Schizosaccharomyces pombe: one gene and its partners. Changing the gene in region 1 together with any one later gene gives a genetic interaction. Each region holds a gene or a part of one and is shown in the gene's direction. Other genes may lie near its edges.

Region 1 (7,645 bases):
CAAAATGGGGAAAACCAACTTGAAACAAAAATCAAGGAAAATATCGTCTGTTTATGAATCTTCAGTAATTTGTATTTCGTGAGCGTCAGTATAAATTTTGTTCTGATTTATAATTTGGAGGGATGTGACGCTAGTCTTACAACATTCAACCTTTCCCACACGTTTACTGTTGATTAGTGAAATTTCTTATTTCTCTGCTTTTTTAGATAACATTGATTTATATTTTTTTGAATTATGTTTTTACAGTGGCCCTTATCTATAATAAACCGTGATCAAGTTTCTGTACCCAGGTCTCTGAAAAAGGAAAGGTTTTTTACGGTTCATATCATGGGTGCTTGAGTTTTTTAGATCATTTTATAATTTGATCAAATGCAACAGGATACTGTTATTATTACTTTACTCAGAAAACTGCCCAACGGTCCTTATCCCATTCATTAGTGTTTCGTATGAATTAGGCCAGAATGAAGTTAGTTACAAAAGCGCGAATTGCTTTTATTTGAGGGGTCTTAGAAAACTGTGAACGGTATAAAAGAGCAGTAATGAAACAATGGAAACTAGAGTCGTATTTAATGTTGTTCAATTTCCAAAGGCTGCCTTTGAATTAGTCGTAGCAGCAATTCTAGCAAACAAGCTATTTGAAAATAAACAAAGTGTCTTTTATATTTCGTTGAATATATTTATGTGAGATTCGAGTGCAAGGAGAATCATTCCGTTTTAAAGAATGGAGGACTTGAAATGGTTTATAAATTGTAAAGAATTTCGTTGAAGGTTCACGTTGTTTTCGACTTTGCTCTATCATAGCAGAACGGCAAGTTTTTCCTCTTGATATTATATATTTTTAAAAATTAGACGCTCGGTCTTACAAGTTATTTCAGGCAATATTAATATACAAGGACAATTATCACTTCTTATGCGCAGTCATATATCATAAACAAGAAGTCTTTTGAACGGAAACTCGAAACAGGAGAAAAGCAAGCATTATCAGTATCGGTAAGGTAATCAATAACAATACATTACACGATTAAAAAGCGATTATTTCAAAATAAATTTCCAGTAATGTTCATTTTTTTTCTTTATGCTTCGAAAATGCACTTACTTTTTAGGCAGAGTATATTGAGTCGTACAACTCAATTTTGGGCTTGCGGCAATATGTTAAAACTCATATTCTAGAATAAGAAAAAAATTCTCACAAAGAGTGCCCTCCAAAACACGTCTTCCTAAATATTTACACCATGAGTACTTTCATACTGTATCCGATCTTTGTTTATGTAATAGCTTGGCTAACGAGATTATGCTTAAAAAGTTACAAAACGATATGTTCTTTATCCATTGAATATTTGAAAACATCTCAGTGTAAAAATATCAATCATTGAGCATGGTATTACCATTGTAAGATAAAGAGTCAGAACTTTTTCAAGATCAAGATCCTATATCCATAAAAGAAACCAAAACTAATTCCAGCTGTAATCAATAATGATCGTTGGGTTTGATAATTAACAAGAAATCATTAACATTAGATGTTTAAGCGTTGTACATATTCATATCCGGGCCATGAGACAGTAGAAAACCAAAGAAAGCACAAAAGCAAGTTAATCTTGAACTTTTATAACAGGATGGCTTTCTTTTTGCCATTGTTTGCGCTTGTATTTTTGGGATTCATTAGCTGATGGGCTTTTCACTATTACCACCAGTTTCGTTCCTTAGCATCTGCCACCTCCACTATATTGTTTATTTTGAAATATTATATTTTGAGGCGTGTTCTCAAATTATTTAGACCAGAAAATTTTTAACTTCAACCAAAGTTATTAATTTGCTTGAAAAGATTGTTCTACCACCCAACTTACATCAAATAACGAAAAACTGAGATTGACTTCTGGTGAAATATCTTGTTTCAGAAACATCAAATAAGGCTGGTCTTCGTATTTTAGAAACATAATTGAGGTGCTACCAATACTTTTTGACTGTAGGTTAGCTGCAATCAGGCTTTTCATTCATTGACTAAATTTATTCCTTGGTTTACGAGTCCAAAAATTTAGTCGCAACTTTAAATTTCTCTTTTTTCCCTTTCAAGATGCACATTAACGAAGAAACAGATTGGATCGATTTGGTCAAACCAGCGTTAGCAAAGAAGCCCAAAAAGATCGTTGACAATTCTGACAAGTTCCCTACGCCTCGAGGATTTCAACAGAAGTCGTTGGTTTCCAAAAACATTCATTCAGGAAATTCAGCTTCCTCAACTTCCATATTTGCTAAACGAGAGGAAGAATTACAAAAGGATCTCTTACTAAAGAAAGCATGGGAGCTTGCATATTCCCCCCTTAAACAAATTCCTATGAACGCTATTTTAGCATACATGTCTGGTAATTCACTACAAATTTTCAGTATTATGACGACTCTTATGTTGCTTGTAAATCCACTGAAAGCAATAACATCTACAGGATCTGCCTTCACCCCATTTAAAGGCACCCACCCAGGAACCCTTTGGCCCGCTATGGGTGCTTATATTTTATTCCAATTATTGCTTATGGGGATTGGAGTCTATAAGCTGCAAAGAATGGGATTATTGCCAACGACTACCAGCGATTGGCTTGCCTGGGAAGTCTCGAAGGTCTTTATGGATCGATCTTATGGTCCTAGTAAAACTGTTTTGTAAGAATTTCATTTACTCCAAAATTTTAAAGATATACGAGTGAAATCGTTAAATTATAGTACCTCCTAATGCCATTGCTTCTAGCTGACCTAGAAAATAATAAATTCATATAAAGAAGGAATGCTTGGAGTTCGGAAACATATTGTCTTCTGGATTAATAATTTATCCTCCATTATGCGGCATTAAACGTTCAATGCCTTTAATCGATATCATGCACGCCATAAACGAACCTCGAAAATACTTGATTATCCAGTTCTTTTTACCCATCCATAGTTTTCGAGAGCATGAAATTTTTGATAGAATACTTTCTTTTACGTCTTGATTATACTGAATATAGAAATATCAAATATTCTTCTTTGTTTTAACTATTATCAATAATGTCTTAGTATATTGAGTTAAAGAATTAGTGCTTTTAGTATAAATTTAATCTCACTCCAATATTGTTTTCTTCACCCTAGTGTAATAGCTGAGCTTAATTTTCAGGCACTTCACTGAGCGCCTGCTTCACATATTATCTACACTTACAACCGGTTTTGGCGATAAAGCCATTACACTTGGAAATTTTTACTGTTTGAAAAAAAAATCTATTAAATCTATAAAAGTAATCGTATGGAGAAGGAATTAGAGGAATACAAGAGCCAGCTTGCTCTCGTTCAAATTTCTCTTCAGAAGACTCCCCAAAACGAGGAATTACAGTTACTGGAAAATGATTTAAAGGAATTAATTAGCCTTACTGAAAACTTACTACAAGAAAGTGTAGAAAATGATAAAAATACGTTTCAAAATTCCCAAAATGGTGTTGCAGGTTTCAATACTTCAAAGCCAGTACATATCGACTTTACGCCTGGAAATTTAGTAATGGCCCGATGGGTTTCAGGAGATTATTTATTTTATCCTTCACGTATTACTGCTGTTTCAGGCTTCGGTGCAAACAAAAAGTACACAGTACAATTTCTTGACTATCCTGACATTGAAACTGTTTCCCTCAAACATATTAAGGCCATGCCTGAGGAAAAACGTCAGGAAATAGAAGGAAATAAAGAAATTCTCAAAAAATCTACCACTATACGTAGTACACCTGTTAGAGAGCCTACAAAAGCAATATCTGTAGCATCTATGTCTACAAGTCCTTCCAATTATGCGTCTCGTGCCTCTTCTCCAGATATGAAGAGTTCGGCGGCTGTAACGGCTAACGTATCTCCGATCCAAAATGTCGCTCAGCATGTTTCAACCCTACCAAAGATCTCTCCCATTCCTCCCTCTAACCCTCCACCTGTTCCTAGTGTTTCATACTCCCAAAAGCAGCAAAAACAACTAAAACCTAAAGCAGCACTTGAAGCATCACAAAATTCTTGGAAACAGTTTGCTGCTCGAGGTGTAAAAACTGGACGCGTTGGCAAACGAAAGAAGATTGGAGAATCTAGTATATTTAAAAGCACTGAAGATTTTCCTGGAAGGACAAACCCTAAAAATTTTGGAAATGTTGCGAGGTCTGGGCATCGCGAAAAGCACATCTATAATTATAGAGAAGACGAAGATAGCTGAGCAATGTGTCTTCATTTGAAACTTGGTATTTAATTAATAGGCTTTTAACAGCCGCTGTTTATGTTTTCATTTATATATTTTTTGGTGCAATAAGCATAAATAAGCTTTTTACAGATCTTTAACCTAATTTCTGATGAAGCTGTCCTGGTTTTCCATATTTAACAAATTGTTCGTCGCATTGTCTACAGCTATAAAACAATTCTTTTGTTGTTGTTGGTGTATACATTAGAGAGGAATGAGTAATTAGAAAAGAATTATTACCTTTCGCATCTTAAGAATTTAACAGCCATAGACTACTTTTTTATATTCACATCTGCATACGGTTTTATGAATAGCATCATTACTATTTTCTGATGCGAAATAGTCATTTCGTTCTTAAACAATAGATCCATTTCCCGTGACATTTGCTAATTGTATTCCACCAAAATTTGACTTCTTAGTTTACAATAGTTGGTGAAAGTAAATCGGTGGTGGTACTATCTTGTCTCGCCATGCTCTTTTAAATAACGGCAACTTATGTTTTTAATAGCATTGTTACATGATAAACTGAAATATTCTATTTGTCATTCGTATTCTATAAGAGGTATATAAAGCCGTATATGTTGAGGGATCATCCACAGACAGCAATGAAAACTAGCTCCTCTAATATACTAGTATTACAAAAAATCTAATTGTATGAAAGAAATCGGTAAGCATACAAAGGGCGGATAGATTTAATTTTGTTTTAATGGAAACATGTAACACTTATCATAAAATGTAGATACTATGCTAATTGAAATTTATAATGCAATTTATGTATGACCAAGTGATATTCCCTTAAATAAAGCTTAGATATAACACATTCTCGTCAGCAAAGCCAAATGCCAACGGAAACTAGATAAGAATAGTAACAAGGATATGAGGAAGTTAAATAAGGTGGATATAGAATATAATGAAACATAACTTGAAGTATTCATTTAAAAGACCTGATGCTCAACAAGACCGAGCTTGGAGGATATTTTGTTTAAAACATCACAGTAACTGTACATGCTCCGATTTCGTGAACTTCAATTAAAATTTCGCTTTGTAAGACTAAGACTAGAAAACTAAGGACGACTAAGGTTTTCACGACGGAAGAAGGCCAAATAACCTACGCAAATAGCAAGTTGACAAATAATATTAATCCAAAAAGGTGCGCTTGCTAAGATTGAAGAGCCATCACCATGATTCCATTTAGTAAAGTCAATAAATACATTAGCAGGTCCCTCACGGTTGGGTGATGCACCACGTCCGATCATTGTAGCAACGGCACCAACTATCTGTCCAGTCATAAGCGTACTTGCTACGTGACGACGAGTTAATGTTTGCAGCAATATCATACCGATTCCAACACTTTGAATAGCATCTAACACCCCCAACCATAGCCATAGTGTACGACCAAGATAAGGACCGGAATAACCTGCCCACGGTAGGTACAAGCCAATATTTGAAGTAGCCCAAAATTGTTGCAACCATCTAGGAGCACCCAATCCGACACCAAAAACGCAGATAATCCAGGAGTGAGTTCGAGATATCCAAGCCAGGACTCCAAGTAGTAAGGCCCAAAGGACGATATAGAAAGCTACAATTAAAAGGAAAATTTGCCACTGATGAATATTTCCAATATCCCACAAGTAAGACCAGGAGCGCCCATTAAGAGATGATAGCCAGAAGTTTTGCAAAAAGACGGAAATGCAAAACCAAACCACCAGTTTTCTTCGCAAAAGTGACTTATAAAAGGCTGGTATACTACCAGACAATTGTCGATAATATTCCGGTAGACCCTTAAACAATAATGCAAAAATTAAGATACTAACAGCACTCAGTGGCCAAGTAATTGAAGGAATGGCGGGAGACATCTTAAAAGTATTAGCTTCACCAGCAGTTAATCTTTTATTGAGATGGGCACCCCAATACCACAAAGCAGCTGACCATACTTGCTGAACTCCTTGGACTAAGCATGCGCGGAAAACCCATATACGAGTTTGCACAGCACCTTCTTCACCAAAATTCAAAGAAAAGAAGATAGATCCGCTAGCCGAAGCAATGGCGTATATCCAGGCGGCAACGTTCGTAATCCATACACGTCCAGGAGCGACTGTGTCAAACGCAGGAAGCCCTACCAAAAACAAAGCAACCGCATAAAAAAGCCAAGGGATCGACAAAACGTAATAAGAAGGAAGACGAGCAAACATAAACCACCATACAAATGAAGCGCCGATAAAGAACGCGCAAACAGAGTAGATCTCGTACGTTTGAATATTGCTAGTACCGGTAAACAATGTAAGTTGATATGCAGTTGCGGCAAGAATCTGACCAAGTGCAAGGAAAATAGAATAAATCGGCCAGTCGTAAATCTTGAAAAGCATAAATTTTTTGAGACCATGAATTGTTTTAAAATCATCGTCTCCTAGCTGAGTGTAGTTGGACTCGTCAGTCATGGCGATTATATCATCATAAGAAGTTTGTCCATTGCTCAAGGATTCGGATTCTTCAGTGCCTGAGTGAGATGAAAGCTCATTGACGTGAAGTTTATTTGGCTTCTGTAAACCTAACTTAATTGCACGACGTTCATGGAAAAATGATCGCTCTGATTTCATTAAGTATTGTTCAATACACAAATCATCCTTAGAATTTTTGGCGTTTAGTTTTTGAAGCTTCTCAGAAAACGACCTTAATGCTTGACCGTCCTCATCAGTAAAAGTCTCTTCAACTCTCGTCAAAGAAAAGTCACGCTTTTCTTTTCCTGACATAACTGAGGCAAGACTAAGACTAGATTCAGTATGCAAGTTACCGTAAAAGTAAGGGTTGTTATTATTGCGAGCATTTGGATTCGAGCCAGCAACAAACGGGGGTAATGGTGGAGAAACAGAATCAGAATCAACAGATCTAGCAGGGTCCGAAAGATCGTCCTGACTAAAAGTAGCGCCCACAGCATGCTCAGCATCAAAACTTCCCATTTGAGGTCGGAAAGAAGGTGCATTACGAATGGTGGTGTCATCATCAAATAAATCATCGTAATAATAAGAACGCTGGGGATCAAATTCATAATCACCAGAATCAAAACTATATTCTGATGGAGAGTGAGAATCGGGATTCAATCGCTCAGCCCGATATCTTGAAATATCGGAACCACCAGAAGTAGAATCTCCAGCGGTCATGCTTTCTTCTTGAATAGTATCTAATCCATCACTTGCATCATCTTCAGTTGTATGGCCAGGTCCACGTCGACTACCAAGAGATAATGAACGATCCAGCTTGGCACCAGTATTAGCTTCAGCAGTAGGTGGGGTTTCAATCATAATCATCTCAGCTTCTTCTGCTCTTTTAGCATCTAGGTTTGTATCACTGCTTGTAGGCAAGACTTCAGAAGAACGGCTAAAGGATTCATGTATTAATGAGTAGAAGGAAGAACGAGAGCGAGAATTTCTT
Region 2 (9,959 bases), on another chromosome or scaffold:
AAAGGTTTTCCTTATTTATTGAACTTACTCAGTAGTATTCTAGAAAGTTATAAAATACCTTTCTTTATTTTTAAGAATTAAATAAATTAACTAAAGAATTAAGACATTTGAGAAAGTTAATGCATAATAATGTTCATATCCCATCAAGCTACATATGGATTGTCTTATTAAACTTATGTACAATTGCCATACGATACGAACAGTATATGAAAATCAATAGTTTTTCTTCGATGTTAAGTATATAAATAAATATTGGTCATGCTACAGATTCTTTATATTATATAAATAATAGCCCTTTTAAATTGGAAGCATTTCACAAGTTAGTAATAAACGTACTTTAATTACCAAAGCAAATTCATATACAGAATCTTCTGATTGCATGTTGGCTAAATTAAATTCATTTGTATATCTTTTATTCCTTAGTAACTTTTGGATATCTAGTTTATGGCCAACTCCGCGGAAAACGGAGCCCTCGGTTCCTCGGGTTTGTACCGACTATACTTTATATAATTTCAAAATGAGCACTAATTCAACGTAAATTCTACTCTATTTACTACATTCGAAGTAAAAAAATGCCTTGCTGCCCAACTAAAAGCGGTGCGGCCCCTACGAACCGTAATTACGAACTCCAAGGCGAGATGCTGAAAGACATTGGAGGGATGCAGACTTACTTCACTGGTAAGCGCTCAAGTAAAGTTGTTTTAATTGGATTTATGGATGTTTTCGGATTAAGTAAACAAATAAAGGAAGGAGCTGATCAGTTGGCAAATCACGAGCTTGCTATTTATCTTCCTGATTTTCTGAATGGTGAAACAGCCTCTATAGAAATGATAGATCCAAAAACGATTGAGCAAAAAGAAGCACGTAGTAAATTTATGGAGAAAATTTCTTCTCCACTACATTGGCCTAAATTAACAAAGGTCATAGAGGACATTGAAAGGATACATGGTCAAGATGTCAAAATAGGTGCTTATGGTTTTTGCTGGGGTGCCAAAGTATTGATTACATATCCTAATAAAGAAAGATTCTTGCGTATTGGATGTGCGCATCCATCTCTTCTTGATCCTGTAGACGCTAAACATGTTCATTGTCCAGTTTGCTTTCTATGTTCAAAGGACGAAGATCCTGAGGAAGTTGATGCTTGGAAGAAAAGTTTCGAAAACTCTCCATATTTTTCTGAATCGTATTTTGAGACTTTTGGAAAAATGCATCACGGATGGATGGCAGCTCGAGCCAACCTATCGGATCCTGAAAATCGAAAATATTTTGATTTAGGTTACCAAATCTTTTTAAAATTCTTTAAAGAACTTTTTTAAATAGTATTGGTGTCGCTTAGAGATTTTTGGATTAGTTAAGAATAAATATAGCACCTGTCGTTGACCGCCAACAACATTTGTTAATTTCATATTCAATAAAGTTTCGTTAAGTGATTATAACTACTGCAACTATTATCATTTTCAATTGAGAGTAATTATAGGATACAATTTCAAAAGTTTAATGCGGCCTAATTTATTTCCATATTCGTCATATACTACCTAACTAGAAATTTCTGAAATTACAAAAATTTTTATCAATCTTAAAAGAAAAAACTAGGCTGAATGCTTTATAAATTCATCCATTAGCTGCTTCAATAAAACGTACCTTTTTCCGAATTCGTACAAAGATTTACGGTCTAGTTTTATGGTTATAATTAACTAGCTGTTTCATAACACAGAACGAGACAACTTGAAAGTGTGCGGATCTCCTTAAGGAAACACTGAATTCATGCAAGATATTTTTTTTTGGGTTTTCTAGATTTCAAATTTCTTCATTAAAACAAACATAATAAAAAATTAATCGCTTACTTTATTTGAAGAAAAATTACATTTTAGACAAAATAGTTTGTCCAAAATGTTTATTGGATAATAGCGTTCTCTGTCAACACATTTCACGTAATTTTCCGTCTAGTATTCAGCAAACATCTACCAAGTGCTAAGAATCAGAAAGGTTGGCTAAATGATCAGTTTATGATCGCCGACCGAGTAACATGTCAGTCTTTTGAAAAAAACCATACAGTGCATGTGATTGTCTACTTCGTTTTCGCTTTACAGATCAGATCTACATAGCATTTCGGCAGGTAAATTCGTTTAACAATTTCTGCATGTAATTCTCTTTTTTTGACGAATTGTAAGCTATAACTACTGCAATATTTTCACGTTCTCCAACGCCTCCTACAAATTAATACTAGACAATAGGACCAAAAGTGTAAATAATACATCAGTAATCATTTGATCCAAGCTTTTTTATTCGCAATATATTGATTCTTAAAAGAAAGTTCTAAAAAAGCCAGTGGATACAAAATTTAATCAAACATTTTGTAATTATGGTGAAAATTTTAAAAGAAAGCCAAAACAATTTTAAACTCAGGTTACATGATATGCCTTTCCAACATTAACTATGTGCATTATTAACATAGAGCCAAATTCTGAGGTAGTGATAAAAAACGCTTTAATGTTCGCTTGCCTCAACAATTGCGTTCAAAATAGCGGCCAATGCAAAGGCACCAGGATCCGGCAATCCTCCCTCACTATCAAGCTTATGAAGTTCTTCTTTAGCAACATAAGATGCTCTTCCAACGACAGCATCCATTTTTCTAGTTTGTTCAGAACCTTCAGTGGCAGCTTTCGCAGCAGCATCAAGTCCCTTACCCTCATTTAAAGTTTCAACAAATGGTTGAATAGCATCAATAAGCGTTCGGAATCCTTTACGGGCTCTAGTGTATTTGAAAAGAGCGTCAAGTGCATACTTGCTTGCAAACGCAAATGTATGCACGGATAATTCGGAATCGCCTGACTCATGAACTCCTTTGGCTAGCGCAGACAAATAAATCGAGTAAAGACCACCCGATGTACCTCCCATCGAATCCTCAACAATATAGGCCAAATCGTCAATACCATTTACACCATCATCCAATCGAATCGATTTATCATTAATAGCCTTTGTGATGGCCTCTCCACCATTCACAAGGGTTGTTCCACAATCACCATCTCCTGCAATCGTATCGTACCAAGTTGTCTTTGGCTCAAATTCATTGATAGCGTCAACGGCAGCTTTTAAAATTTTAGTAAACATCTTTGGGTCAGCCTTTACACCGCTGTGCTTCTCATTACGGGTATGCTCCAAAGCGGGAGCTGTTGGCACCTTGCCGTCAGCCAAAACCTCCCAGTCCTTTGCGTTATGATAAGAAACGTTCCATCCACTAGCGGTTGTTGGCAAGTCAAAATATTTGAAAATATCTGGAGTAGCCTTAGAAGCATTGACCAATGTAATTCCAAAACCAGGACCGTTCAGAGCGGTTACAAACGTACCAGACATGGTTCTTTTAGGAATGATACCTCGTTTGGCTAATTGTTCCGAAACTACTTCAGTAGCATATCCCAACTCTAAATTGGACATACCACCCATATTGTTTACTAGAAGGATAACATCGTCTTTTGAAGAAAACTCTACGAAACTATTGTCCGGGTTTTTCTCACCAAACAAAATTGAAAGCATCTCTGTAACTAGCTCGGGAATAGATGGAAGTGGTGATGATTTGAAGGTTCCAGGCTCGTTATGAATACCCATGCCAATCTCATACTCGTCTGGACCCAAGTTGGTTTCAAATTTGCGACCGGGAACGGCGCAGTGATCCAATGAAGCTGCTATGGTAGCAGCATTGTCAATCACTGATTGGGCCACTTGAGCAACTTGATGCAGATCCAATCCTAATGCTGCTGCAGATCCCGCAATTTTGTGTACTAGCACAGTGGCTCCTAAACCTCTTCTTCCTACGAGTGCACCTCTTTTTTTGCCTACAGAAACATCATCTCCTACGGCAACAAGCTCAACGTTCATTCCAGCTGCCTTGGCTCTCTCAGCTGCCAGGCCAAAATGAATAATATCGCCTGTATAATTCTTGACAATAATTAAAGTTCCCTTAGGAGAAGCAACAGCTTTGAGGGCAGAGTAAATTTGTTTAGTAGAGGGAGAAGCAAAAATGTCTCCACAAGCTACAGCGTCCAAGGCTCCATCACCAACAAAACCTGCATGTGTAGGCTCGTGCCCACTACCACCACCAGACACTAAAGTTACTTTAGGAAGATCACCAGAACCCGGGGCAGAAGCTGTCCTGTAAATCACACGATCATGTTCAATAACAGTAAGACCAGGGTTACTTCTAGCAAGTCCAAGCAAGTATGGGCGTACTATATGTCCGTCAGATACAAATTGTTTTACAGACATTTTTAATTGAAAAGAAACGTTCCCTTCCTGCTTTTTTATCTCATTCTTTACATTACTACTACCCCGCGCGCGGTGCGTTCTAAGATTTGCAAATATCCGGCATACCCGCCTAGCTGACCAATTGTTGATTACGGTTGAAGCGGCAGTTATGCGAGTGTGCAAACGCATTGTATAAACTTGTCCAATTCAGGGAAATTTATAACACATATTCTTAATATTCTGTAGATAAATTGATTTGCGCTTAAGATTCGTCACCAAATTTGTGCCGCCACTACACGTTGTCATCGACGGTTGCTTAACTTCGGTTATCTGGACCACTTGCATGAGTATATAATGCACTGTTTTACTCCACCTTATTCCCAAAGCTATTTCAAACCTTAATTTTGGTATTCCCGCCAGTACCCGCGTGCATTCAAAAAATTTCCATAAAAGCCAAGATTTGTCCCGTCTAATTCACTACTAAATGAGCGTCCCTTTACGCTTCTCGACACCATCATCATCTCCTTCAGCCTCAGATAATGAGAGCGTGCATGATGATGGTCCCACAACTGAATTAGACACTTTCAATACGACGGACGTGCCAAGAAGAGTCAATACCACTAAAGCTCGACAAATGCGTCCCAAAAATACCCTAAAAGTTGCGTTCTCTTCACCCAACCTCAAAGGCCTGGACAACACTGCCGACTCGGATTCTCAACCCTGGCTTGGTGGGTACCTTGCTGGAAGACTTGAAGATATATCCGGACAATCGCGTCGAAATTATGTTGATCCTTATTACGAAGAATTGAATGCTGGGAGGAGACCCAACAAACCGGTGTGGAGTTTGAATGGACCATTGCCACATGTTCTTGGTAACTCTGTGGTAGAAAAAATATCTCAAAAGAATCAGGAAGCTCGTTCTAGAGCAAATTCCAGGGTGAATTCCAGAGCAAATTCCAGAGCAAACTCCTCGGTCTCTTTGGCTGGTATGGATGGATCGCCCAATTGGAAACGGAAAATGAAGAGTGCTGTTTTTGGATCAAGAGTCAAGCTTAATGATGAAGAAGCTCAATTGCCGCGCAATAAATCTTCCGTTTCCATAGCGGAACAAGCCGCTTCAAGACCCAAAGTTAGTTTCTCGCTTCAAAGCAGCCGTCAACCATCCATTGCTGAGGAGCAACCCCAAACCCAGCGTAAGTCTTCCGCGATAACGGTAGAGCATGCGGAAAATGCTGAACCAGAGACCCCAAGAAATAATGTTAGTTTCTCTAGGAAACCGTCAATAGCTGAACAAGATTCATCTCAAGATATTACTATGCCTCCTAATGAAATTATTGCTGAAGAAAGTTTAGACTCGGGAAGCGATACTGAAACCCTGTATCTCAACTATTGGTGCAAGATTAGACACTTTTTTCGTGAGGGTTTTGCTGAGTTCCTGGGCACTTTGGTTTTGGTTGTGTTTGGTGTAGGCAGTAATTTGCAAGCTACCGTCACTAATGGAGCAGGTGGAAGCTTCGAATCCCTTTCTTTTGCTTGGGGATTTGGTTGCATGCTTGGCGTTTATATAGCTGGTGGAATCAGTGGTGGTCATGTCAATCCCGCTGTGACTATCTCATTAGCCATATTTCGCAAATTTCCTTGGTATAAAGTGCCAATCTACATTTTTTTCCAAATCTGGGGTGCATTCTTTGGAGGTGCACTTGCCTATGGTTACCATTGGAGTTCAATTACTGAATTTGAAGGAGGCAAAGATATTAGAACACCGGCAACAGGTGGTTGTTTGTACACCAATCCAAAACCATACGTCACTTGGAGAAACGCATTTTTCGATGAGTTTATTGGAACAGCCGTTTTGGTAGGATGTTTATTCGCCATTCTAGATGATACCAACTCTCCACCAACCCAGGGCATGACTGCTTTTATCGTTGGTTTGCTTATTGCAGCTATTGGTATGGCTCTTGGATATCAAACAAGTTTCACTCTGAATCCAGCTCGTGACTTGGGACCTCGTATGTTTGCATGGTGGATTGGCTATGGACCACATTCATTTCACCTGTATCATTGGTGGTGGACTTGGGGTGCTTGGGGCGGTACCATAGGAGGTGGTATTGCTGGAGGACTTATTTATGATTTAGTAATATTTACGGGCCCAGAGTCTCCACTTAATTATCCAGATAACGGGTTTATCGATAAAAAAGTGCATCAGATTACCGCAAAATTTGAGAAGGAAGAAGAGGTTGAAAACTTGGAAAAAACAGATTCTCCGATTGAGAATAATTGAACTCTTAATAATCTTTCATGTCACAAAATGCAGAAGATTGAAACCATTTACTTTTTATTTATTTATTCTTATTATTGTGGAGCAGCTTTTCTCTTTATACTAAGCATATATTAGCTTTTATATTATCTTTTGAGATGGACAAAGAGCTATGTCTTCCCCATTTTTTTTGTTTAATTTAAGCACTAGGGTTTTGTTGTGTTACTCTTTGTTGCTGTAAAAATTTTCAGCTTCTTAATGCTTGGGACGCCCTTATGTTGTTGCAATAGCGGCAGCTTCAATTAAAATTGATTTCATATCAAAAAAGACGATTTTCCCATTATATTGCGGTGTCTCGAATTTATTACTTCTTCCCTCAACTTACTTTGAAACCTAATTTTTGGATTCCTGTTGACTTCTTTTTTACGTTTTTGCGTATTACCGATTTTTCTTCCGCTTTGCGTAACACAATTTTCTTGCTCTCTTCTTTACTCTATGTACTGCGAAAGTAGTACGATTACCTTGTATGATTACTTATATTGCCCAACCCCCTTTTCAAGTTCAACTTTGACCGAAATTTTCTCTTCTCTTTTTTGCTATTTATTCATATATCTACCTGTAATTTTTAGTCCTTAAAACATTTGGTTTTTCAAAACAACAGATATTAAAAATGGCCGATATGACCATTACGTCATGAAATACTTGCTTCTCTATTTGGTTAACATACTTAGGATTTAGCTAAATTAGTTAAGATATCAAAAAAGTTTTAACTCATATCTAAAGATTTTTTTATTTAGAATAATTGGACGTTATGTTATGATATATAATTTTATGATTCACTTTTGTCGATTTTGTTAAAACATGTTTTGTTAATATTTAAAAGCTCAACGAGGATGAAATTTTTCTGTACATTTTAAACATAAAATACATTCTAGATATTGAATGTAATACCAATATTTTCATGAACACGCTGTTTAAAAAATATTTTTCGGTAACCCATTATTTGGTATTGTTTTCGTATAATAGTTAAATAATCAAACTTCTATAAAATTATAAAGCAAACCAACGACTGAAAGCATTTTGTAAAAAAACTTATAAAATCAGTGGGAACAGCTTGTAGATTCACTAATGTCATTATATAAACCGATTATTTTTCCAAAGGCATTATCAAAATTTATTTCGGAATGCAAGGATTCCCGTAAAACTAAAACCGTAGTTTATTAAATTTTAAAATTACTTTCATTTCCAGTATTTTTACGGTATGTATTTATAAAGTTCAAACTCACTTGGAAATTGAATGTCCGGAACCCTGCTTTTTATGTTTAATATCCGAGTTTAATATATTGGATATTCCAGTAGTCATTTTATGAATACCAAACCTCTGTTTTGGGAAGAGAAGAACTAGTATGCGATGGCAAATATTTTTTTTCTGTTTTAATTAGACGATATTGATAGTGACAAAATGAATCAACTTCGCAAATAATATTAATTAAAAGTTTTTACATGTAATTCGCAGCCGTAATAGCAATTAAATTTACTAATTCAGGAAGCTTGCAACTAGAAAACGCTTGTTTAATTTGGCTCCAGTATTGTCAGTTTTCTGAAAAAAAAAGCTCGCTTTGCCTCGGCGGTCTATTTGTAACGATTATACTTCTATCAGATCTATTAATCCTAACTACAACTTGAAATGATTTCTTAAGCGCGTGAAATAAAAAAATCTCAACTCTGAGAAACCGCAATACTTACTTGGGATTTCTTTTTGTGTACATTTTACTTCTGCTTATAGCGTTGAGAGTAACTTGGTAAGCTCTGAGCAGATTCTACAACATTTATGACTAAAATGGCTGTCTTTCAATTAGATATTTTGAGCGGAGCAAGCATGAAGCTGCTATCAAAATATAATATCCATAAAATCATTTACGAATGAAATAATACATTCTTTTCAACCACACGTAAAAAAATCTTTAAAACCATGTGCAACTTTAGAAATGTTCTAAATTTCGATGTTTCCACAAATGTAGACAAAATATTCAGTCCCACATTTGCGTTAGATTTTACTATAAATTACGCCTCCTTACTCAATAACTGTTTTTACTTTGGGTCGATGAGTCTGGACTTGGTCTAAAAATACGGCCCCTCAACCGAACATTTATTTGACCGGCAAATATTAAAGAAAGGAGACGAAGTATTTCGAAAATACATCAACTCACATTTAAGATAGGATGCTGCATGCAATGGAAAGAAGAAAAAAAGGGGCTGCTTTCTGTAAGTTGTATTTTCTAACAATTCTAGTGCATATTCCATGAAATGTATTGTGTTATTAACGGCACAATTTATTAGTTTATTAATAATATATTAAAAAAATAGGATAACTGAAAAAGATATTCCTGATAATATAATGATCCAGTGCAAGTACAGTTTGAGCATTGAATATTCATATCAATGTTCATAAAATAAGAATATGCGGTATACAATGAAATGATAGTTGAGTTATTACTTAAGAAGAGTTCGGTTGAAATTTTCAAAAAAATAGCAGTCAAGAAAATTTCAAGAAGAAGAAAGAAACATTTATATATATACATAGTTTAATCCATTTAGATATTTCTGCTTAGTACGAATATCGAATTTTTATTCATGAAAAATACTCTGGAATAAGATGATTTGTATTTCGAATGTAAAAGAGCAGTCCAAAAAAGGCGCACATACACATAATAAAGTAAGTTATAGAAGTGTGTATATGTAAAACAACACAATAATTTATTTTCATTAAGAAAAACCACTACAGTTTTTTTATAGTGATTTTACTATTTAAATAGCAATCTTGACAGTAATGATTTGTTTCGAAATTATTTATGAAAAGAGATAGTGCGGTAGTAGTATGTGAAAGCAGTTAGAAAACAATGGTTAGACTTCTCTAAGCACGTCAAGTAAATAACAAAAAATACGGACCTTTCCTTGAGAATTTTATAAATGACGTTTTATCAGTTCTAGATTTTTACGATATAGTGCTTTAAATGTTGTTTGGTATCTTTTTTCTTTGATATACGCAAATCTCTAGACGTATCAATAAGTAAAATTGTGAGAAGTTTACTACGTAAATTACTTTACCGATTTTATGAAGTTCAGCACCGGATATTTGTATTTGAACATTAGAAAAAGGACATTTTGTTCAGAAGGAGAGATGTCAAAATCGAATTTTAAAATATTATAATTTGCTCACATTCATTTGTCAATAGATTCCGAAAAACGCGAAAAATTTGCATTATAATCTAAATACAACACTTTTGAAATATTTACATCCGATTCAAAATGAAGTATTTAAACGCGAGAGATTTGCTTGAATTATCTAATCATGAATATATGATTTATAAAGAAAAACTTATCGATTTTATTTTTATCATAGTTTATTTCTGTTGAATCAGATTACTGGACAGCCAAATTGAGCAAATTAAAAACTGAA
Region 3 (7,721 bases), on another chromosome or scaffold:
GACATACACAAAACTATACTTTGCTGTCATTTTCACGTAGTCCTCTTCTACGGAACGTTGCACCCTACATTTAACTTTTACTCTATTCTTTTTCTTCTTGTTTAATATTAATATCAGAAAATGTTAAAACGTTTTGCCATAAAGAATGCACGTACTATTTACTAATGTTTTAAGCTTTGCTATGTCTTCTTATCTCATCCGAGCGTGCTCGCTATTTTTTTATTGCTACCAATTTAGCGAGCATGGAGGAAACGTATGTTACTTGTGTTTACTTAGTATTTTAAAGGCGAATAAGGAGGAAGCGTAACGGGCTGGTGAGTGGTCCAATATGCGGGCCTTGGCTTCTAACTCTGCTTATTGGTGAATCTTATGTATTGTAAATCCCGCATTTTTTTAGTCGATCCTTTGTCGATCAAGCTGCACGCGAGCTCACTAAAAATCAAAATAGCAGAATGCACTGCTCTAGCATGTACAGTGTCCCAGTAGATGTAAAAAGAAAGCGTACGTAGTTATGTAATTCCAGATTGCCATAGGCATCTTAGTATAGCTAATATCATCCCTGCTTAGTATGGACTGTTTATATCATTATTTCTACAAATATTACTATGATGGTATTACTTATGATCATTACTGTTGCTGTTGTAATAAACTACTATCATGACTAAATACCATCATTGACTATTATGATGTTTTTCTCTTTTTCCCAACCTCGCTATTCAAACATGAAACATGTATAATCAACTATTGTAAACACTAACTCCAATGCTGTCTCAGCGACTGCCCAGGACTACCTAGTCTAATTGCAGTACAATGGTACCATTTGCAATCCCGACACATGCGATAAATATAGATTATTCACGATTTTCGCACTTTCAACACTTTTATCATCCTCGCTCCGACAATATTGTTTCTCGTATAGCGTCATGTCAGTCGTAAACAGGCCTGAATAATGTCATCTGTTTTTTGTTCTGGCTCTTTGAATGATTCTCGTCGTTAAAGATATGAAAAAAAAAAATTGGCTTAATAAGCTCCTCAACATACACGCCACACCTCTTATTCCTCGCAAGCACTTACTGAATCACTCTTGCTTCTACAAATATGCAGATGTTTTATTGGTGTCAATTTTCAAAAAATACCACTTTACCATACCATACCATACCAGTCGACCTTTAATCACCCTAAAACATTAACCTTTTAGGGATCCCTAGTGAACACAACGTAAAATGCTGCAGGCTAGAATGACTGGCCTTCCCAATTCTGGCTAAGTTAATAAAGGTAAAGAAATAATGTGTGTAAAGGGCAATTGCAGATGAAGGTATACATTGAAATGCTCACACAAGTTGTAATCAATCAGAAAGCAAATAAAAAAGTTGCATGTAAATTTGTCTACGGTAAAGCATTAAATGAAATATGGACAAAACACAATAGTTGGAATTTGACTATTTGCCGTATAAATTCGTGTAGCTGGTTATCTGTGCTACGGCATTGCGAAAAGTACAATATGACTTTTAACATTAAAAATGATACCAAGTATTCGAAAATTACTTGCTGAATAATGATTGTCGAGGATATTTGGCATGTTTTTATATTAGACTAACTATGTATCCGTCACTAAGCAAACTCCAAGTAATTCACTCAAATGAACAGCTATCTTAGCTGATATTTAGATTTTGCCAAGTCTCATTTAATAATTGACTATGTTATATTCTTCATCAATATATTATTTCAATGAGAAAAACGTATCCAATTACTTCAAATTTAGCATTTCTGTAATTTTTTAATTTCATTGAAAAGTATGCTTTAATTGAGTTTTTTTCTGCCCCTCACATTCTACGGACTTAAAATAGGTGTATCTATTCATGCATATTCATTCATTCACCATCGTAATCCACCAAAAGGCAAATTACTCTAATCCTCCAAAATACAGATTCGTTTCGAACAACATACCCATACTCTACTATCTTCTTGTTCTTTCAATTTATTACATATAACGGCTTGTTAAGCTGCATTCCTAGAGTTTCTTTCGCAATATGGGAAAATTTGCTCTTAACTTAAACGCTGAGTTGACTGGTGTGAAAAATTTAGCTCCCAAGGATGAAGAATCCTTCTATTATGCTTTTAAAGTCCAATGTAGTGGTTGTCGAGAGATTCACGACAATGCCATTGAAATCTCCCGCAGCGAGACTCACAGCATACCTGGCAGCAAGGGCGAGGCTAATCTCATATGGACGTGCAAAAATTGTCGCAAAACTTGCTCTTTCGTTATAGAGGGGCCATTCTCTCCTTACAATGATTCTCAAGAGACGAAAAAAGTTCTCGTATTGGAATGCAGAGGATGTGAACTAGTCGAATTCATTCCTCAGGGAGAATGGATAGCTAATGGTGCTGAAAGTAATACACTTTTTGACGAAATAGTATTAGAGGATGATTGGTATGACTATGATGAAAATGCCTCTTCAGAAGTGTCTATTACAAATTTGGAGTGGTCTATTAGTAAAGCTTAGAGTCTAATTTAACTTTTTTTTACTCATGTATTTGTATATATCACTAAAGATATCGTGTACCCGTTTATAAATGTTGTTTAATGTACAAAAAAAAATTAATATAGTAAATTGTATTCATGAAGCAGTACCATCTTTTTCAAGCTGGCTTTTGTAATATTGGATTCTTTCTTCAATGCAGGCCTTCCATATTGGATAATTTTGAAGTCGTTTTTCGTAATCTATTTGAATCATGCTTGCTATCCCACTCCAAGGTTTTATCCGTTGCTTTTGAGATTCATAACCCTCTATACCATTTAAAGGGATTTCTTTATACTGCCAACTTTCTGAGAGGACATGCATCCAATACTGAATTTGCAATGCAGAACTTGTATCCTGTAAAACACTCTGTGCCTTTCTTCTCTCGGTGTGATTTATATGAAGTTCGTCTTTTCCAAAAGCTTTTGCCGATACTAGTAAATAAGCTGCGATTATGATGCCTCTTTTGTGTTCGATGCGCATGTCGTTTGTAACAACGGCTTTCACCAATTGTTTAACATAAGGTATAGCAGTTGAGCCCCCTAGTTTGGTACAAAGATAAGTAATGGTTTCCATCAGATCATCTTTAGCTGCTAAGGATTTAGTTAATGGAGATAAGATTTCTTGAAAGTAAGTGAAAAGTTTATAGTATTTCTTTTTTGGAATTGGAGTCGCTAGTAAATTTATTTCCAAATTTAAATCATTGGATAATCTTTTTAAAGAGTCAGAACAAGTTCAAGTAGAGTAATTAAACATCAGAAGTTACTTACAGTTCACAAGCTAAGTGCGCTGCCATATAAGGACGGCATAACTCTTCTGTCGCCTTTAGATTATGTTTATATTTGGACCATTCCAAAAATGACTCTCCTAAACTAATAAGCCGTTCATTATATTCTGTACTTTCAGTGGGAATTATTCTGCGTAAAGACTCTATAATCTGTTGTCGCTCCATGAGAAAATGAATATATTTAATAAAACTTTTATCATTTAATTTTGATTATTAATTATTGAAATCATGTAATCATTCATAATATCATAATAGTGGTGAACGCTTAGTTTGTTTTATGTCAATATGGTGTTTAATACAGAGACATTTAAACGATGTTTTTAATGCTGCTAATACTACCAGCTGTTTCAAAAATATAAAATCTATCTACTTGATGCACCACTGAATTTGGTGTTTATATTCCGTACTTATTTAATATGACTCTTGCTTAATCATTCCGGTTGCTAGTTATCTTAAATAATGTCACCAAAAGCTTAGAATTTAGACCTACATTCTTCAAGATATTACTACAAAACTTTCGAAGCAGTCTTCAAATTTTTTTTTATTTAATAATGAATTACGATTGCTTTATTGGGAGGTAGTGTTTTAGGCTTGATAATTCGGTATATTACTCTCTTTTAGTAGTTTAATCAAGGCTATATGAGGCATACAGAATAAAATATGCGTGAATAGCGTGAGTTAATATTAACTACTTTCCATGTTGGTTTCATAAATTTTAAGCGAACAAACAAGTTTAGGTGGAACCGTTGAATTATTTGATGACTTTTTAAATTTTTAAAGGAAAAAATGATGAACGATCAACTGAATAGTAATAAATTAATCCTTATTGATTGAAAGGTTGGATAATGAAATCGACTTACAACGTTACTGACAGGGTTAAGCTGACGGACTCGCACTTCTCATACAATCTCGGTACTCACCACTTTAGCAATTGAGGAAGTTGAGAAAAGTACTTAACTTTAGCATTAATCATATAGCTCAATGAAAAATATTAAATATGAAAAAAGAACATCATAGCCCTTGGCCGGACTCTTTGAAAGAATTTATTGGTAGATGCATCCAAGACGCTGAGGAAAACAGCCAGCCAGAATTAGAGGATGAAGTAAAATTGCTAATTTCTCGTCAATACGAAATGGGAAACATATGGAATGTTGATTGGTCTTCTATGAATTTAGAATCCCTAAGGAAACTGACAAATGCTCAAAATACAATCATCGAAGATAAAAAAAGAAAGGTTGAGAAGCCTGTTTCTGGAAATCAATTTTCACTTTTAAGTGAAGAAGATGAAGTGGATAAGAAAGAAAAAAGAAGAAGAAGGTTTGAAAATGGTTCTCGTTCTCAAAATAACGCTAAATCTGAAGAGCTAAAAGTCAACCCGGAGAATGGTGCTATTATAGGACGGTCCACAGAATTAGAGAAAAGGTATTTGCGATTAACTTCGGCTCCTGATCCGGATACTGTTCGACCCCTTCCAGTTCTTAAGCAAACTCTCGAACTTTTAAAGAAGAAATGGAAAGAAGAGAAAAACTATGCATATATATGCGATCAATTTAAAAGTTTAAGACAGGATTTAACTGTGCAAAGGATTCAAAATGAGTTTTCTGTATTAGTTTACGAAATACATGCTCGTATAGCTCTTGAAAAGGTACGGTTAATTACTTTAAAATATCATTTCTTCTTCTAACGTTCGACTAGGGTGATGTTGGCGAGTATAACCAATGTCAAACTCAATTATTTCATCTTTACAGTTTTGGTATACCAGGGAATACTAAGGAATTTTTAGCATATCGTATTCTGTATATGCTCTTCACTAAAAATCGATCTGGTAAGTTAATTACGGCTTACTGCTTAAAAGAATATATCTTTTGAATTCAAATTATTAACAATTTATAGAAATGAATAGCCTTCTCGCCAATCTAAAAGAAGAAGACAAAACAAACGCTGCTGTTACACATGCATTAGAAGTCCGTTCGGCGATGGCTACTGGCGATTACTATAAATTTTTCCATCTATATTTAGTCGCTCCCAACATGGGAGGTTATTTGATGGATCTTTTTATTGAGAGAGAACGAGTGCAGGCGATGATAATGATGTGCAAAGCATATCGCCCTTCTCTTACAATGGAATTTTTGGCTAACACACTAGCATTTGAAGAAATGGAAGATTGTGTAAACTTTTTTAGGAGTTGTAATGCTGTATACGATTCAAAAGATCCCAATCGCATACTGATGAAAGAAAGCACGGATAGATTCGAAAAATGCATGAAAAAGCATGCTGTGGTTGATATTAAAGGCCAAATCTAATAATAAAACTACTTCATTCCGCTTTTCTTTCTTTCCTCATATGTTGAATTAGAGAATTTAATAAAAAATGAGACACGTCCTTTTGGGACATTATGCTTTATAGTTCCAGTCATTGTCTATTCTTAACGTTTTACTAGACAATTAAGTAGAAGTTAATAGTTTTATGATTCCAATTCCTTTTTTTTTATAGATATACATTGTTCGTTTGGCAAAATTCTTGTACTCAGAGTTATTTACTTGAGGTTCGATACTGTATTCAAGCACTAGTCCTGCTTGATTAAGCAAATGTTCAAACGCATCAGGTTGGATTTTGAGGTTCTCAGGTGTTTGATTAAAAACCTAGAAAAGTAAGAGTTAGAAGTATTGATAGTCGTGACTTACAGATATTTTTTTTGCAGCTTTCAAGTACGAGTCCCATCCTTGAGGTTCTAAAATAAGAACACCATTCGTTTCCAATAAAGAACTAATCTTCCCAAAGAATTTAATGATTCCTTCATCGTGGTTATTTAGATGCACCCATTTAGATACGGATAATGCTAGTATTATTTTGAATTTTCGTTTCGATTCCCAGCGCAAGAAGTCAGCGGTCTCAAATTCTATATTGTGAGGGAAATTTTGCTTATTGAGAGGTGGTTGAAGTTGCACTGGTATCCTGGAAAACTTTTTAATGCTTGAAATGGGGTAATAATTAAACTGGTCTTCTACAATGGAACCAGGATTGCGTACAGGGCCAATTCGAGAGCTCACAAACTCAAGATGTTTTCGAGCTTTTTGGATGAGAACATGATCGATATCCAATCCCAAAACAAATGATGCACCAAATATTGAGGCAATTTGAGCAGACACTGTCCCATTATTGCATCCTATATCTAAAACTGAAGCCTCATAAAAAAGGGAATCAGGCAAACATTTAAGTCTTGGATCGATAATTGAGGTTCCTCCCCTCATGCTGTAATAACTGTGATAATTTCCATGTTGAAAATTCGACATCCCAAGTCGAGGAGGTTTTTCAAATCACCCCTATTTTTTATAAAAGTATAAATTTTGCAATGGAATTTAAACGAAAACTTACGAATCGAACTATTTAAACAAAAGCGAGAAGTTTCAATTTGTTGTTGTTACTAATACATTAACGATGTTTACATATCTTGAAACTCAACGTCCGACTCGTAAAAACTAGTCTTAAAGCATCCAACAATTTAGAAAGGATCGCTAGCGGTAAAAAAAATAATATCAAAAATATATATATATATATATTATCCTTTTAGCAATTCTTCGAAAGTTATTTTACTTTTGTATGTACCTCGATTTCAACGTCTTTTTGCAAACTTATCTTCGAAGGTGTTTTTCCCTTTATGACTAAAAATTTATTGCTTACGTAGACAGGTTAAGATAGTTTAAAAAATGTTTAGTATATGCAAAATATATTTCATTCTAATTACAAGAACGATTAGGTGGGCTTTTTCTTTGAACAAGATTCCTTCATGTAAAATAGCAAGATGAGAATAGTTTTACACTTTATAAGTCAATTCAATCTAAACTCAATCAAAATCATCATCCAAATCGTCATTAACGGAAGAATCTCGTTTACCTAACTCATCTTCTGCATTTTGTGGATCCTTCAAAGCTGCAATATCACTGTCCTTTAAGGCACCGGCTCTAACCAATGCTTCAGCTACATCAACTACACTAGTGTTCATTCCTCCTAAAGTAGCTAAGGTTAGAATTTGTTGTTGTAAGTCTCCATGACCGTATATCAAAAGAGTTGGCATCATCGCTTCAGGATAATTTTCGACTGCTTGTTTTCCGGGAATTTTTACAAATTTAATTTGGGGATACATTGGTGCTAGTCTCTCTAAGATAGCAGCTAATAATTTACAGGCCGGTAGTCTTGAATTGTAGTGTGTTAGTATTGACCCATTGAAAATGCAAACAAATGAAGAACAAACGTACGAGTCTTGGAACATATGCACAACGACAAACACTTCCTTGCTTGCATCTGTGACTTCAGCTGTATATTCTGGTTTCGAAATAGGATATACTGAGCCAAATTTTGCTTTTGACATTTGATCCTTCCACTCCTGCATCCGCTTGTTTCTGTACATTTGTAAA
Region 4 (7,550 bases), on another chromosome or scaffold:
ACAATCGACAAAATCTCTCGCCTTGAATGGAGAGAGGAACTGCACGATTCTATACTGGAGCAACTTTTACTTTGCGTTAAAGCCATGTGCACTGTTCAGGTATGCATGTGATATACATTTAGACCTATGTCTTCATTGCCTTTGACAATTGCTAACGTTTTTCCTAGCGCGGATTGGAATGTTTATCTCAATCCACTTATAATGTCGAGCGATTGATTTCCCTTTTGCTTTCAAAGAAACAGCCATGTGATTTTGTCGTAAGGGAAGTACTCGTTCAAATAGTTCACTCCTTTTACAAAGCTCATCTCGACAAAGAAGAAGGTGCAATGCAAGTTTTTTCCTTGTTTTCTATTAAAGACGATAAGGATGAAGAGGTTGAATTCTTAAAAAACGTTCGAGTTGATCGACCTTTTCGCCGTTGGATTATCGAACTTGAAGATGTTAGCCGTAATGTCTTCTGGGTGTGGAACCACGATTCTAATGTCATTGATTTGGAGAAACAATATAATCAAGTGTACGAGGCTCCATTGGGGTTTATTGGTGGTATAGAAACCGAAGCCACCAGCTATGTTGCAGCTCACATCCATCTTATTAATGAATTACTCGAAGGCTTACCTTTAGAGAAACGTCAAAGAAAACGTTTGGAACTCCAGCTAAGTGGATTAGAAAGAATCATGGGGTTACGGTTTCGAAAGAGCAGGTAAGCAATTTTTTTCAATATTTATATAAGCAGGCACTTACAAATCTAGTCAAAAATTCCATAAGAAGCTACATGAAGCCCTTCGTGAATGGATAGTGGCTGCTAAAATTGATGATTGGCCATACAAACTTGTGCAAACTGGATCAACCTAACTTTACCCTAATTTTCTATGCACTACAATCATCCTATGTATATAAAAGACACTAAACACCTTAATCATTTATCAAAATACGTCTTGTCATCTACTTTACCTAACCCAATATTGGAATACTCATCGTACATTATATATTAATCGCTTAATTTTTATTTATCAATTATGGGCAATAATAAAGGTAAATCCAGAAAAGTCGAGACTTTCGTCATTTACCAATTGCAATGCCCAAGAAACATTTTCTTTATTAAAATGCTTGGATTCCCCAAATACGTTTGTAAATTGTTGAAAAAACATTTCATCCAAGATTTCAAAGACTTCAACACCTTCTGGATTAGCAACGGCTGGATACCCTTCCACAAGCATACTAATTGAGAAAGGTAATTTTTCAGAAATAGATAAACAATATACACAAATCAATATCATTAAAATATCCTGCTCATCTGTAGCGACCAATGCTTCAGCATCGGTTGAACCATAGAGACTCTCAATGGCATGCGAAAGTGGTGCAAACAAAGGATGTTGCAAGAGGAAAATAGATATCGAATTAAGGATGAGATATTGCAAAAGGTTTGGAAGAGGTTTGTAAGTTTTTTGGAGTGATTCTTCCATATAATTTTTGACATAAGTGATGGAGTCTTGAAGAATATTAATCTGACTATCGCGATAAATTTTGGCCCAAACCTGCCTTTCAGAGGTCGGAGATACTTGCGGATTTGATTTTAACAAAAGGTCAGCTCTAGAGTCGATGTACATAAGTAAAACTTCCAAGGACTTAATCTGGCCTCGTAAAGAAGGGACATAAGAAGCTAGATCACCCGTCAACAAATGCGCTGTCAATTTTCGAAGTTCAAGAGAAGAGGCAGTTACAACTGCTAAACATTGAAGAATCTTTTGAAAAATTTCCTTATCTGGGGACTTTGGCAAAAAAAATACTAAATTGCTCAACTGAAATTGGCAATCATTCTCAAGAATGGCAGCTTTTTGATCTTTATGCGGTAAATCTGGATGAATAGCTACTTTTAAAGTCACTGTATCAAATGGGTTATCAGGTAAGCAAAACCCATAGCCCATTAGTAACTCTTCGTTGCCCTTTGGACCGTAATTATTAAACAGCTGGTTGCCTTTTGCAACCAACTCTTGGGAAATTAATTGAACAGATTTTTCATCTTGAAAATCACTATTCCACAAAATTGGCTGCTTTGGTTTATGATTCAGACTGTCAATGAGAGGAAGAAGAATGGGAGTAGACTCTGAATCCTTATATATTAGATTGGATGAAAAACATCTAGATGAGAAAACAGTGGCAGACCATATATACAAATCGAAGGTAAATCTTTCTGTAGGAGATGGGTGCAAACTTAATGCTTCTTGATACTCATGCTTCCAGATATGCAAACGCTCCTGAGCAGCAGAGTACGCATTTGTGGATATCAAAAAGGCGTTATCATTTTCGTTAAAATAAAGAGGGGTGTTGAATGTTTTAGGTAGATACTCAATGTACCCGTACCACTTACTTTGTATACCCTTCAAGCTCTCCAATGCTAAAAATGTACAAAGTGTTATATGAGGATTGCAACTCTCAAAATTTGGATTCAATTTTTTTAATTCCTCTTTCGCCTTGTTATATGTTATTGCATACTCAAAAGGGCAGGATATAAGTAATTGATCAGGTGCTATATCGTTTTGTGCAACAGCAATATAACTACCAAAACAAGCGTTATCGTCTCGACTTTGGATAAATTCGACAGATTTATGAAGCTTGCAGCCATTTTGCAAGGCTTCGTGTAGTAATTTCTCCATTAAAGTAGCGTTCGTATAAAAGAAGTAAATTAGAAAAAAAAAAAAATTGTAAAATTCCAATAATCAAACCATCAAAACTGATTTTTGCTTTTTAAAAATGAAAACAGACAAAAGAAAAGTGGAAGATAAATTATACCATAAAATTAAAAAGTGGTAGCAGAGTGCCGCCTGGCTTCGCCTATTGCTCAAAGGTAAGGATTGAAATACCCTGAAACCGCATTTGGGTGTTTCTCCCACAGTTTTTAATGCGGATAACCGCCATTTGTATTGTTACAAAAAACTGTATCGATGCTAATTAGTTTAAAACGCTTGTAGTAATTTGCAATTGATAACAATTTGAAGTCTTTATACTCATAATTAGACTACAGGAAAGCGTTGTCTTTTAGAATTTAGCGTATATTGTGATTCGTGAATACATTACCCTCATTTTTTGTAAATCAATCCAGTTTTACAAATACCTTCTTTAATTTTTTCTTTTTTTTTCTTTTTTTTTGTTTACAATCGTTAGCTATTTTCTTGAAAATAGGACATTTGCTGAAAATGGATTTTCATGCGATTTCTCAACGTTTCATTGATATGATGAGAAGCAAGAATTCCCAGAACGCTTCTCAGCCTCCAGAGACATATCCCTTTTATCATGAAGTACGTCAAATGTCACAACACCCGTGGATGTATGAAGACCCAGAGTTGCAGGATTATGCTCTTAGCATTTTACCACTTGACAAACTATTTCAAGATGCTTCTGAATTAGAAAAAGAGGGAGATGGATCTTGGGGTTACCAAGATTATGTGATTCAAGCCTTGTTAAAGTGGTTCAAGCGAGAATTCTTTGTTTGGGTTAATCAACCACCTTGCGAAAAATGTGGAGTATGTTTTATGATTGACGGTGTAGTCAATTTTTTGTTCTTTATCCGTACGATATAGAATATTGACAATGTGTAGGGTGAAACTCATATGACAGGCAACGGTCCCCCCAATGAGGAAGAAAAATGGAATGGAGTCCGCAACGTAGAGCTTTATCAATGCAATGTATGCGGGCATAATCAGAGATTTCCCAGGTATAATCGCATTCGAGCATTGCTTGATTCAAGGAAGGGAAGATGTGGAGAGTGGGCCAACGTGAGTTAAAAATATTTATAAATATATAAAGCTAACATTTTCTTAGTGTTTCACTTTCCTATGCAGAGCACTTGGATCTAGAGCTAGGTGGATTTGGAATGCTGAGGACCATGTGTGGACGGAAGTCTATAGTAATAAACAGCAACGCTGGGTGCATGTCGATAGTGGTGAAGAATCATTCGATGAACCTTTGATATACGAACAAGGTAGAGTTCTAACTCCTTGAAAAACTTGATTTCTAACAGCATTAGGTTGGGGAAAGAAGATGTCATATTGTTTGGGTTTTGGGAGTACGGAAAAGGTTTTAATTTTATTTGTTACTAATGCAAAAATAGTCGATAGTGTTCGCGATGTATCGCATAGATATATTCGTCACCCTGAGAATGGTCTTCCTCGTGATCGATGCCCCGAATCTGTCCTACAACAGGCTTTGCATGAGATTAATATTGAGTTTCGGTCCCGACTAACTGATTCTGAACGTAAGGCTCTAGAGGAGGAAGACAAACGTGAAAAAGATGAACTTGATGGTTATATGCGTCCTGTTTCCCAGGCCACGCCCACTAACACTGACCTGCCAGCAAGACAAACGGGGAATGTTGAATGGAAAGAGAAAAGAGGGGAAGCAGGAAAATGATTGTTTCATAAAGCTTTACGTTCCGTTTCTATTACCAAACATTTATTAGTTATGTTGTACATGAATCCTTTCTAGTTACTAGCTTTTTTTTTATGTAATCCTAATTAAATTTTTTTTTCATACATTAGTTAAACGACAGCAAGTGCATCGTAAACCAACTTTCGAATTTCAAAAAAGCGGTTGCTCAAACTGCCCTCAACGGATATTTTACCACCACTGAGTTTTCTTACGGCAACAGCTCCCCCACATAATAAAACACCTTCTCCTTTCAATTCAGCAGAAATTCCTTGATCTAAAAGTGCTTTACGGAGATAGGCAAGCCGAATATTACCTACCAAAAGTGGAGCAGCCCTGGGCGCTCTTGCCAAGTCTGATCTTAAAGTCAAGGCGTTAAGAACAGGAAGTGTCTCTTTCTCTTCTTTTTTCTCTTCATTCCTTTCTTTATCACCGTCCTTTTTCTCAACTTCTTCCTTTTTATCTTCTTCTTCAGAAGGTTTAGAGATCTCAACCTTAGCCAGCATATGTGAAACTTCGCAATTGCCAACTTTAGTCCAAATTAAATTTTTAATAAGATCATCTGCTAATTTAAGACTGAATGCATTAACATCGATACTAACATTAATGATTTCACCATAGTTGGGTATGTAAACGTCCTTGGTAAAAGCACTGAGAGAGGCGCACGTTTTCTTCATATCTTCTTTCTCTTCAGTTGAAGCATGAATAAGGACAAGTCTTCTAGGATTTACCTGTGGTATAATAGTTTTCAAAGAACGTCCATCATGCAGACCCTCAATATCTATGAACTGAACTTGACATGAAACTCGGATAGTTTTTTCATCTGTTATAATTTTAGAAGGAACTTCATCCTCATCCTCTTCTTCCTTTTTTTGTTGTAGACCATCGTTTATTTCGGACCATTTTCTTTTTCCGTTAGAATTAGATAAAGCATTATCATCTGAATCATTTTCCAATTCCAATGTGTTAGCAGGTTCGTTAATCATAGAAAAGTCTTGATGTTTGATAATTTCTCCATATTCATCTATCCTCCTTCTCTTCTCAATGTATGGAAACATTTTATACTTGGTATGTAAAGCTTGGACAGCAGGATCTCTCAAGTTCAAATCAAAAGACTTTCCCATTAGGAAAGCAGAAGATCCAAGAGCCACATGGGGAACTTCTGTATTCAAATCTAAGTCGTCATCTTCTGAAGAAGATGATGATGAAAGGTCTTCATCTAATATGGTTCTGTTACGAAATTCCAAAGCGGTATCTTCCGCATCTTTATTTCTCTTGCTGAACTCAAGTTCTTGATACGATCGCAATTCTTCCCCCTCCAAAGGTTCTTTCGTTTTTATCTTGACAGCTTGTTCAGCATACAAACCGACTGGATGAGGAATATCACGTTTCTTTTTACTAGCACGTTCCCAATACCTGATGAATTGGTTTGCAAGTGAGTTTTGAGGGCATCTGGATCTTTGTGTAAACAGTATTAAGTCATTTGAATTTTCAGACATCAAATCTAACAAAATTCGCTGAGAGAATCCGCATTCCAAAGTCAACGCGGTAGCGAGGATCACTTTGGGTCCGGGTCCTATGTGAGAAATCTGAGAAAAATCTGTAATCGTATTTATATTTCGAAACTCTAATAAGTTTTCGTTGATCCCAAAATCACGAACTATATTATCACCCATCCATTCAATCATACTTTTAGCATAGTCAATAGTTTTTGTTGATGTAGGGGAAAGGAATAATATAGGAAATGGTAGAGGCGGTTGACTAGCAGACCAATGGTTATCTAGAATACAACACAATTCTAATACCCTAGAAGCGGCATCTACAGGTAATAAAACAGTACCGCCCTTCAACAAAGAAGACATAACAGACTCTATGAAAGCTTCGTCACGCTTTTTACGGGAAGGGATAGATACGAGTGAATTGTTAGCATCAGTAATTAAAGTATTTGGTCGATTGAGAGCTTCTAATATATGGCCATTCGAATATAAGGCAGCGCCGTTTAGATGTTTATCTTTAGAATGGTTCCAGTCAACAGCGTACAGAACGCTTTCTGATTCTTTTATAAGACTCCACAAAGTTCCTCCCAAGGTATGTCCAGCATTATAAGCAGTAATGGTTAGCCCACTACATTTTCCTAAATCATGAATTAGTATAATCAAAAGTTCAAAAGACTTTTTTCACAAGAACAATTGCTTACCTAAAAGTAATGTGGGTTGTTGATATCTAAGAGGAATGATGCTGTCAAAAACAGCATCTACATCAGCTTTGCTCATGTCTGAAATATAGTTGGATTTTATTGCATCCAACATAGTCATCCGACCCATATTAATTGTTGGTAAAGTAGCATATATATACGCATTTTTCCAGTCATATTTATAATAAGCATAAACCAATCCTCCTATATGTGCTAAATCCGAATGAGATAAAAGGATTAAATCTGGTTGTTCGGGTACTTCCGGATGTTTTAATGAATCATCGCTGCCAGGGTCTATATAGATATGAATTCCATCTAACTCAATATGAGATGTTCCACAATAGGAGTCTGTCTCTAAACATTGATAGTTGAGCATGGTTATTGCCCAAAGACAGGACTTTACAACTCGATGGTAGTAAACAGTGGGGGTTGGATGGCTATCAGAAAGAATATATCCAAGCGATACTATAATATGAAAACTTGTCAATCTTCTAAATTGACCAGTTTTAATGTCTTTATTATAACTAAATCTTTAGTTAATCTAAATCATTCAACGAGCATATTGGATAAATCGGCTTCGTAATTTTTATATATTAACAAAGACGGATGTTTATTAAATACGGTTTCTTGGTAACATCATTAATTAAAAATATACCATGTAAGGAGTTGAGTTATAAGTGACTGGTATAGATTATCAATTGGCGATTTATTCAAAATGCGCTAATTTTAGGAAATGGTTCATCAAATCGAAAATTGTCCTGAAAGCATTAAGTGAATTATCAAAATAATTTTTAGCTTTTAAATTATCACTCTGTAATAACAAATAACTGTAAATTAGACATTGATTCATTCATCGATTCCAAAAAAAGCAGAGACGGCGCCATAGAGGTCGCAAACGACCTTAGATTTCCCAGAGCTTCCTAGGCCCGCAGCG

Evidence for each region.
Region 2: mutations in spf30 (region 1) and SPOM_SPAC977.17 together harm fitness more than expected from each alone (negative genetic interaction), as found in Schizosaccharomyces pombe (one large-scale study listed by BioGRID).
Region 3: mutations in spf30 (region 1) and iss9 together harm fitness more than expected from each alone (negative genetic interaction), as found in Schizosaccharomyces pombe (one large-scale study listed by BioGRID).
Region 4: mutations in spf30 (region 1) and ngl1 together harm fitness less than expected from each alone (positive genetic interaction), as found in Schizosaccharomyces pombe (one large-scale study listed by BioGRID).

What each region holds. Positions count from the first base shown.
Region 1 is NC_003421.2:1,379,040-1,386,684, reverse strand, and holds spf30 (splicing factor Spf30), read left to right. Parts: upstream 1-3,140; 5' UTR 3,141-3,259; coding exon 3,260-4,195; 3' UTR 4,196-4,630; downstream 4,631-7,645. Other genes in the region: chaperone EMC4, read left to right, coding at 2,072-2,653; cell wall alpha-1,3-glucan synthase Ags1, read right to left, coding at 5,281-7,645. UniProt on the Schizosaccharomyces pombe protein: Involved in spliceosome assembly.
Region 2 is NC_003424.3:62,417-72,375, forward strand, and holds SPOM_SPAC977.17 (MIP superfamily protein), read left to right. Parts: upstream 1-4,263; 5' UTR 4,264-4,726; coding exon 4,727-6,523; 3' UTR 6,524-7,405; downstream 7,406-9,959. Other genes in the region: SPOM_SPAC977.15 (dienelactone hydrolase family, implicated in cellular detoxification), read left to right, coding at 573-1,316; dihydroxyacetone kinase Dak2, read right to left, coding at 2,488-4,263.
Region 3 is NC_003423.3:2,963,105-2,970,825, reverse strand, and holds iss9 (nuclear export factor), read left to right. Parts: upstream 1-4,217; 5' UTR 4,218-4,303; coding exon 4,304-4,951; exon of another isoform or gene 4,952-5,001; coding exon 5,002-5,131; intron 5,132-5,199; coding exon 5,200-5,609; 3' UTR 5,610-5,721; downstream 5,722-7,721. Other genes in the region: protein ess1, read left to right, coding at 2,031-2,504; origin recognition complex subunit Orc6, read right to left, coding at 2,619-3,231, 3,290-3,471; bmc1 (Bin3 family regulator), read right to left, coding at 5,751-5,948, 5,991-6,599; plp2 (phosducin family protein), read right to left, coding at 7,151-7,499, 7,563-7,721. UniProt on the Schizosaccharomyces pombe protein: Required for transcription elongation. May also be involved in pre-mRNA splicing.
Region 4 is NC_003423.3:1,123,434-1,130,983, forward strand, and holds ngl1 (peptide N-glycanase), read left to right. Parts: upstream 1-3,038; 5' UTR 3,039-3,194; coding exon 3,195-3,521; intron 3,522-3,596; coding exon 3,597-3,773; intron 3,774-3,819; coding exon 3,820-3,979; intron 3,980-4,024; coding exon 4,025-4,063; intron 4,064-4,108; coding exon 4,109-4,407; 3' UTR 4,408-4,535; downstream 4,536-7,550. Other genes in the region: GTPase-binding protein Rid1, read left to right, coding at 1-99, 168-700, 750-852; ribosomal lysine methyltransferase Set10, read right to left, coding at 1,011-2,654; mRNA processing protein Cft2, read right to left, coding at 4,536-6,556, 6,620-6,992; SPOM_SPBC1709.16C (aromatic ring-opening dioxygenase), read right to left, coding at 7,463-7,550.